2 linked regions of the Oryctolagus cuniculus genome follow. The protein of the gene in region 2 interacts with the protein of the main gene of each other region in a pairwise test. Links are inferred from orthologs where the notes say so. Each region holds a gene or a part of one and is shown on either strand. Other genes may lie near its edges.

Region 1 (4,589 bases), on a different chromosome or scaffold from region 2:
CACCAGCCCTGGGCAGGCCTTAGGCACACACAGCAACACGGCTGTGAGCAAACTCTGCCTTCTCTCAAGTTCAACAAGGAATTCACTGTTCGCAGTGATTATCCCAGAGGGAGTGGGAGTCAAAAGGACTTTCATTTTTATATGTAATGTACTTCAGTATAGGTTGAATCTTTACAAAGTGCCTGAAGTTTATAAGATATCTCCGTTTTAAGAAAAAGGACATAACTTTTAATTGTTTCCCAAAGCATACAATAATGCAATTTCACTATAAGAGCGACCAGCACAAGATGAAAAGTACCAGGAGGAAACTTCTATAAAGACCAAAGTGACCAAACATTTCTCAAATAAACCTCCTGGTGTGTGTGTGGGGGGGGGGGGGGGGGCAACATATTGTAGCTAAAAATTAAAAATCTACGGAAATTCCCCCGCATTTATATCCCGAATGATTTCCTCCCCTTTGGGCCAGGTTAACAGCAAAGGCTTAGCCGGCCAGGGAAGCACAGGCCTGCACGCAGGTGCTCCTCCACCCCTGCACAGCAGAAAGGGAAATGGTTTTGTGAACGCGCACAGAGACTCTTAAAAAAACAGGCCGGGGGGGGGGGGCGCGTCTTCTCCAGAGCCTGGCAGAAGGGGAGACGCAGGAAACCCTGCAGAAACCGAACAGCGTTCAAGCGCAATCAGAACACAAGGTCACGAGTAAGTGGCTGTGCTGCGCTCACGCCCGCTGCGCTCCCAGTCCCGTCTCTCTTGACAGTGCAGGCCATCCTGCTCCGTTCTCCGACAGCAATGACAACGTGGCCCCAGCTCCTGCTGCAGGCTGCGCTGCCCGCGCGCCCCCGGCCACGCGTCTTTCTCGGGACGAAGCCTCCCGCTAGCTCCCAAAGGCATTCACGCTGTCAAGACCCGGCCAAGGGCCTCAAAGGACAAGCTTGAAGCTCTGAGCACGTGACAGCCAGCCTCACCTTTTCCTGTCTCAATTCTCATTTTCTCCCGACCAGACCCATTTGCAATGACACAACTTTAGAGAATCAACGGAAGATGCTTTTCTCCGCTTCTCCCTCCCTCTCTGCCTTTCAAATCAATAAAATGAACCTTAAAAAAAAAGTTTCATAGACTTGAGTTCTCCCGTTTCAAAGACGACCGCGATCGCGTTTGAAGTTGGTCCCCAGCACCGCCATCCCTCACCCAATCCGCTTCAAAGCGCCAGAAGCTGCCGGAGTCCAAGTTACCTCGGAGAGCTCGCTCGGACCGCTCCTCGGGCGTGAGCGTCCCGGGGGGGACTGCTCCAGTGCGGAGCCTGCCACGCGGGAAGCCCCCTCGGCGACCCCGGCCCGCTCCGGCGCCCACGAGCCATCGCCGCCTCTGCCCCGCAGGCTGCCCGCCCGCGAACGGGCGGCCGGGGTCGGAGCCGTGCCTGCGCGCACCGCGCCCGGGCCCCGCACAACTTCGCGGCGAGCGCCCACCGCGGGAGCGCTCCGGGCACACAACCCCAGACCTACCCACTTCTACGGAACAAGCAGCATGTGTTGCCGGCGCGAGGGGGTGGGAAAAGCGCGCAGCAAGAATCCGCCGCCTCCTCCCTCGGAGCGCGCCCGAGTCGGCGGCCGCGGCCTCCGGGACGCTTCCCCTCCCACCCGCCCGGGAGCCGCAGCTGGGAGTTGAGAAGCGGGCTCCGGGCACGTCAATCACCCGCGCCCTCCCGCCTCCACCTCCCCTCCCCCCCCCTCCAAAAAACACAGGCGCAGGGGAGAGAAGGTAACTAATTTGGGAACCACGTCTCCACCGGGGGGCTTCGCCCTCCGACCCCAGAGGCGGCGCGCCCCGCAGCCCCCGCCGCAGGCCCGGCAGCCGCCCGCCGCCCGGCGTTCCTCCCCGCGCGTCCGGCTCCCCCGCACCGGCCGCCCCGCACTCCGGCCCCGGCCCCGCGCGGCCCGGGCCAAAGTTGCGCAAATAGCCCCACCGCTGGCAAATACTCACCGGCCGCAGCGGGAACCGGGGCTGCGGAGGTTTTAGGGAGTTTAAGGCAGATCGGCCGCGGGGAAAGGCGGGCGGAGGCCGCGGGCCGCGGGCTGCAGTGGCGGCGACGCGCGGCGCTCGGGCTGGCTGCGCGGAGACTCCGGCGCTGCCAGGGGCTGTGCTGCAACAAAGGACTTCCGCTGCCGCACAGCCGCGCCCGCCGCACCGCACTGAGCCGGCCCCGCTTACGCGGCGACTCCGGGTCTGCCCACCAGCTCGCTGCGGCGTCCGCCAGGCCTTCCCCTCCCTCCCGCCCGCCCACCCACTCCGCCGCCGGCTGCTAGGGGCACCCGCGGTCGCCTGTTTGCTGCAACAAGTTTCTGCGTCGGGCTCCGGGGAGGCTGGCACGACCCGCACCGCGGCGCGGCCCGGCCACCCGCGCGCCCCTCTTCCCGAGGGCAGGGCTCGGGACCTCCTCCTCCTGTTTGCACAGCTGGCCGGGCCCGGGCTCCTCCCGACTCGCGAGGGCGGGATGCTGCGGCCCCCGCGCCCGTCCAGACGTCAGAGCCCGGCTCCGCAGCGCCCGGAGGCCGGGGGCGTCCCGGGGGCGCCGGTCCCCGCGCCCCGGGCTGGCCGCGCGGGGGGCCCGCGCCCGCCCCCGGCCCTGCCTGAGTCACTCCCCCGCCGTGCCCCGCCCGGGCTCCCGCGGCCAGGCCGCCCCGGCCCCGCGCCCTCACCCCTGTCGCGCGGCGGACACGCGGGCGCATCCTCCCCCACCCCGACCCCGAGCTGACGGGTGCCCGTGCTTTTGCACACCCTGGGGAAAGTCCCCGGGTCACGCGGTTGTGTGTGTGGGGGGCGGCCGTGACGCGCACACGCGGCCCCACGCTTCCGCCTACAGTCACGACCGCCGGCCGCGCCGGCGCCCGGAGCGCGGGCCGACCCCCGCCCGGCCTCTCCGGCAGGCGGGCGGGCAGGCGCGCGCGCACGTACGCACGCACGCACTCCGCGGCGCCCCTCGCGGCCCCGCGGCCGGGCGCAGGGTCACGTGGGCCCAGCGCCCGGGCGGCCGGCGCGGGAAGCCGCGCGAGAGCGGGCCGCGGCGGTGCGTGAGCTGGCGCCACCGCGTGCCTTGCGTGGCGCGGGAGCCCGCCCCTCCCGCACGGCGGAGCCGGCCCGCCGGCGCGGCGGCGTCTGGGTAAGCGACGCGGCCCTGCCCCTGCCCCTGCCCCTGCCCCTGCCCCTGCCCCTGCGGGCCGCCCCGGGGCTCAGGCCGTCCCGCCGCGAGCCAGCGGGGGCGGCCTGCGAGCCGCGCGGGTCGCGGGACGGTGCGAGGAGCCGGGGCGAGAGGGGGTGCTCGGGGTCCGTTTGAGATGCCTGCCGGGGGCCGAGCAAGGCCGGAGTCGCCCCTCGCCGCCCGCGCGGGAGGCCGGGGCCGCGGGGCTGACCTTTCCTGGGCCGTGAGGACGCTGCGGCCGCCGCCCCTCCCCCGCCCACCGCACAGGAAGCTGCCCCCACGCCGTCGCTGGTCTCGCCCTGAAGCCGGCCCAGCGCTTCTTTCTGAAGCGGGTCGGCTTCCCCCCGCCGCTTTGCCTGGCACGCGTGGCTGTCAGTAGCCGCTCAGGCGACCCACGGCCACCCGCGCCCGCGGGCGACGGCTCCCGTTTGGCCGGCTTTTTTCCGGAGCCGCGAGTCCGTTTGGCCGAGGTGGTGTTTCTCCCGCGGGATTCCCACTTCGGAGTTGAGAGGGGGCGTGTGGAAAATCCGGGTTGTCCCCGTGGTTTTGCAGACGAAGGCCCCTGCGGGATGGAGGGGCCGCTGCGCGCTGCCTGGTCCTAGACTCGGCCACGCCAGTTACCCCACTCCGCGCCGGGGTGGCGTCTGCCGGAGGATCACTGGGCTTGGGAAGTCAGCCGTGGTCCCTGCGTGCTGGCCTTGGCCTTCGCATACTGATAGCATCCGTGTCCAGGCGGGAGGTGCTTGAGAGCCTGAAGCCCCTTCCCCTACCCCCGCCCTCCCCAGATTCAGCCCGATTCGCTGCCAGAATAACGTTTGCAGTGTAGTTTAATTCCTTAGGATAAAGGCTTGGAAGCTGTCTTTTGCAATCTGGATATGTGTTCGCTTGAAAGAGTTACAGAGAGAGAGAGTGCTTCCATCCGCTGGTTCATTCCCCAAACGGCCACAACGGCCAGGCTGAAGCCAGGAGCTTCTTCCGGGTCTCTCACATGGGTGCAGGCGCCCCAGGACTCAGGCCACCTGCTGCTGCTCTCCCAGGCACATTAGCCAGGAGCTGGATGAGAAGTGGGGCAGCCGGACTCGAACCTGCACCCACAGTGGGATGCTGGTGTCGCAGGTGGCGGCTTTGCCTGTCAGCCACAACGCTGGCCCCTGTGGATGTGGATGTGTTTAAATTGAGGGTACATTAGGAGTCGGTTGTCAGGCATCACCGGGGATAGGTTAGATCTGAGGACTGGGCGTAGTCGGAATGCAGTGAAACATCAAGCTGGGGTGAGCTAGGAAGCAGGGAGGGGCCCCACGTGACCTGCCCTATCTTTTTTTGCCCAGATCTACCCGGAATGTCTGGTTTGGTGGTAGTGGAGGTGGATCCAGTTTGGCTGCTGTTCATTGAGTAC
Region 2 (4,148 bases):
GAAAGTTAAGTTTTTAAAAAATGAATAAACAAACTAAAACCAGGAGGTACAGGTAGAGTTGTAGGTTGAGGGGCACGAATGTGGGCTCCAGATTCATAGCATAGGTTCAAATCCTAGCACCCTCTTTTACTCAGCTATGTGAGTTACACAAAGTTCATCCCTACTTTGTTCCTGATTTCCTCCATTGTGTGGATGTAATAAGCGACTATTTAGTGAGGGCACTAAATAAAAGGCAAAAGTTAACAAAACACTATTCCTCCCTCTTTAAGAGACCACTAAAGGCAGCTATTAACTTTGATAAAGTATAGAAAATGAAGGCAAGAAATTATCTTAAATATGATCAATTGCTATTTCCTTGTGTTATGATTGTGGAAAATTTTACTTGTTTTGGGGACATTACACATTCTGTATTTCTCAAACCTTTTGAAACAAATATGAGTTGTATTTATAATACAATATAAATACACATTTAGGATTAATCATGAAGTATTTGCATATTTTGTACAATGGGGAATCCCTTCTCATTCCCTATGATACCGTTTATTAAAATGATAGAGTACAGTTCTCCAAAAATGATTGTATCACAAGAATCTTTAATGTTTAAAGTTTACTCATGGTAGGTTGTATATGTGTTTAGTAAAGTGTGCCAAGTGCCCACATTGAGACCATCTCAGTTCAAAACAGTTCACTCCAGATGTTGCTCATGCCCATCAAGGTCATAAAGAGGGGCCTTAGGCTTTTCTCTTGGTTAGGCCAGCTTTGCTGGTGAGTTCTCCACACTCACCAGGTGCATCAATCATACAGTACACATCAATCGTCCCATATAAAAGAATAAGATGGAAAACTTCTCAATGTATTTCATAAGTTTAGCACATCTCTGGTACAAAAAATCCAAGAAAGGTAGCACAAAAGCGAAGCACCAACAGAGCTTACTTATAAACAAACATGCATAAATGCTAGACACTACTTGATAGTACCCAAATGAATACAACATTGCATTAAAAGGTATAAAAGCACTGTACTGATAACTGAAAGGTTACACGTGAAATACTGCACTGTAAATCCTGAATACTCTAAGACCTGCCCCCCACCCTTCCACAGCCCTGGTGGGGGTTGGAAACCATCAATCTGCCTCCAGACCTCACTAGTCCTCAGACACACTGCTTCGGGGGCAGTGGACACTGGGACTGGCCTCCCGCAGAGCTCTGGCCTCCTCCAGAGCTTCTCTGTATCTGGAAGGCCAGGCCTGGGGATCTTTCTTAAAAACCCTGGCCAGGAACTCCATGATCTGCATCTTGGTAATCTCTTGCGTGGCTCGGGAGCCCCAAAAGAACTCATACTCCGGAGGTTCAACATAGGGTACGCGCTGGTACTTCAGGTAATTCTGCTGGACGAACTCCTCGGTGATGAGCTTTCTCACGTCCCCGAAGGTGGAATGCTTCTTCCAGGGCCGCAGCCCCAAGATGCGCAGCACGTTCCAGACGGCGCTCTCTCTGGCGCCTCGGCCCTTCACGTAGATGAGGCTCAGGATCATGAGCAGAAGGCCTGTCATGGGCATCCGGTTGCTCAGTGCCACCCTGTCCAGCTCCTCGGGGTCGAGAGCCTTGACCAGCGCAAACTCCATCGTGTGCAGGCTGGTCAGCCTCAGGTGCAGCCCAAAGACTCGGGCGAGGATGAGGCTGGTGCGCCTGAGGATGCTTCTGCACCATTTCTTGTAGCTGCCAATGACATCTTTCACCATGTCTGGAAACCAGATGATCATCTTCTTCTGGTCCTTGACCAGCACGTACCACATGAGCTCATGTGCCTTCTGCACCAGCTGGGCCGGGGCGGGCGGCGCGGGGCCCAGCTGGGCCGCGCTCGGGGCCTGGTGGGCGCGGCCCTCCTCAGCTGCCTGCAGCAGGGCCTTCGGGTCATCCTCATCGCTCGGGGCCTGGGGCGGCGGCTCGGGCTGTGAGAGCGCCGTCGGGCCTGGAGGAGGGCTCTGTGGCCCTGCGAGGGTCGCTGCAGGGGAGACGGGCGCAGGGCCCCCCGCCGGAACCCCTGGGCTGCTGTGCACTTCGCGGCTGGGGGTCTCGGCTGTCAAGTCGGGGTCGCTCAGGTCCTTACTTTGTTCCGACATGTCTGCGCCGTCTGACAGGAGCAGGGCCTCAGCGTCCCGGAGCTCTTCGAGCCTGCGTTCCCTCCGCGGTCTCCCTGAGAGGAAGTGCGCGTAGCTGCGCGCGGCGCCTTCCGCAGCGGCGGGCAGGGCGGGGCGGCGGCGGGACGACGGGACACTGCGCCTGCGCGTCCGCGGGCCGCGCGATTCGGACTGGGCGGGAGGGGAGGGGCTGTGCGCCCGACGGCGAGGGTCTGAGGTGGAGCCGCTGCTGGCCTGATGGGAATGACCCCGGGTTTCCTGCGTGGACGAGGCGGCCTTGGGGAGGGCAGGAGGGGCTGGGTGGTCGCTGAGGAAGGGGCAAGTTTAAAGGGGAAGATGGTAACTTCAGTTTCCCACGTGGTGAGGTAGAGTTTCTTACAAGGGTCCACCTGGGTTTGTCCAGGACTAAGTGTGACAGGAGCGTCCCAGAGAGAGCTCCCGGTTTCCTGCGACCAAGTGAGAGGAGCAGCTGGGATTCCTCAAGAGAATGTGAATAGTTGGGATTCTCTAAGAAAATATGCGAACTTTGGGAAGATCTGAGACTGGAATCCTGGGAAATACCAGTAAGAGTTGATGAAGTCTCTCCCTACAAAATTCCGAGAGTAGGAGGAGGAAGAGTATAAAATAAGGAGGAATGCAGAATTGGTAAATTCCCTATCAGTCCGTGCAAAATGTGAATGATGCTGGAGATAATGGGTTTAAAACAACTTTGACATTTTTTGTGTATTTTTACATTTTTAATTGACATAATAATTGCACATATTTTGGGGGAACAGGGTGCTATTTCCATAAATATATATGATGTGTATTGATCAAATCAGGGTAATTAGCATATCCACCACTTCCCACATTTTCATTTCTTTGTGTTACGGGACAGTCAAAATCCTTCCATATAGCTATTTTGTAATATATAATTAAAGTATTGTTAATTATAATCACCTAATGTGATACAGAACACTGGAAATTTTTTTGTTGCATTTAATTGTATTTATGTAGCATGTAATTGACTTTTCTGTGTCTCCCTTTCTCTTCTTCTTCCCAGTCTTTGATAACCAGTTTTCTAATCTCACCTTCCATGAGACCAACTTATTTAGCTTTCTACATGTGAGTGAGGACATGTAGTATTTGTCTGTCTGTGCCTGGTGCATATCGATTAACATATTGTCCTCCAGGCTCATTGGTGTTACCTCAACTGACTGATGGCATTCTTTTTCTCTGGCTGAATAGTGTTCCATTGTGTGTATATACCACATTTCCTTCATTCATTCATCTATAAATAGCTACTTATGTTGATTCATTAGTCTTTTGATTATGGATTTTGATTTTCATCTTCCCTTGGGTCACTTTGATTCCATTTTAACTTTTCATCAGGTTTCTATAGGATAAAGATTGCTGTAATTATTAGCACAACTTGTTTGATAATGTCCTTTTCCCTGTTTCCTCAGATCCTTTATTCCCCCTACTGCTGCTCTTTCCACTCAGTGTCCATGTGGAATCTTTACCATCTCACAGGATCGTAAGTGAGAGCAATGGAGTTGTCTGCAATGGGAGCCTCACCTACATCCTTTTCAATACTTTTTTTAAGCGTAAGTCCCATAGATAATATCTGGTAGTTTCTCTCAAAGTATGAGATGCAACATATGGTTGACCATGTTTCACAGGTATAGAAAACAGATCTAGAGGGGCAGCATTGTGGTGCAGTGAGTTAAGCTGCCACTTGCAATGCTGGCATCCCATGTCGGAGTGGTGGGTTTCAGTCCTAGATGCACAGCTTCCAATCCAGCATCCTGCTAATGCTCCTGAGAAGGAAATGAATGGCAACCCAGGTACTTGGACCTCTGCCACCCATGTAGGAGACCAGGACAGAGTTCATGACTCCTGGCCTCAGCCTAGCACAGCCCCAGCTTTTGCAGCCATTTGGGAAGTGATGCAGCAGATGGAAGGATGGAAGATTCCTGTCTCTGTTTCTGTCTCTTCTTTGTCTCTCACACTCTGCCTTTTAAATAAA

Evidence for each region. The genes of interacting proteins can lie anywhere in the genome.
Region 1: the proteins of NDN (region 2) and ZBTB1 interact in a two-hybrid assay, tested with the Homo sapiens proteins (2 studies listed by BioGRID and IntAct). The link is inferred for Oryctolagus cuniculus from reciprocal best matches to the Homo sapiens genes NDN and ZBTB1.

What each region holds. Positions count from the first base shown.
Region 1 is NC_091451.1:5,938,790-5,943,378, forward strand, and holds the start of ZBTB1 (zinc finger and BTB domain-containing protein 1), read right to left. Parts: upstream 2,907-4,589; 5' UTR 2,694-2,906; intron 2,222-2,693; exon of another isoform or gene 1,978-2,221; intron 1,756-1,977; exon of another isoform or gene 1,663-1,755; intron 1,643-1,662; exon of another isoform or gene 1,500-1,642; intron 1,494-1,499; exon of another isoform or gene 1,230-1,493; intron 1,211-1,229; exon of another isoform or gene 1-1,210.
Region 2 is NC_091443.1:13,452,724-13,456,871, forward strand, and holds NDN (necdin), read right to left. Parts: upstream 2,256-4,148; 5' UTR 2,123-2,255; coding exon 1,145-2,122; 3' UTR 574-1,144; downstream 1-573. UniProt on the Homo sapiens protein: Growth suppressor that facilitates the entry of the cell into cell cycle arrest.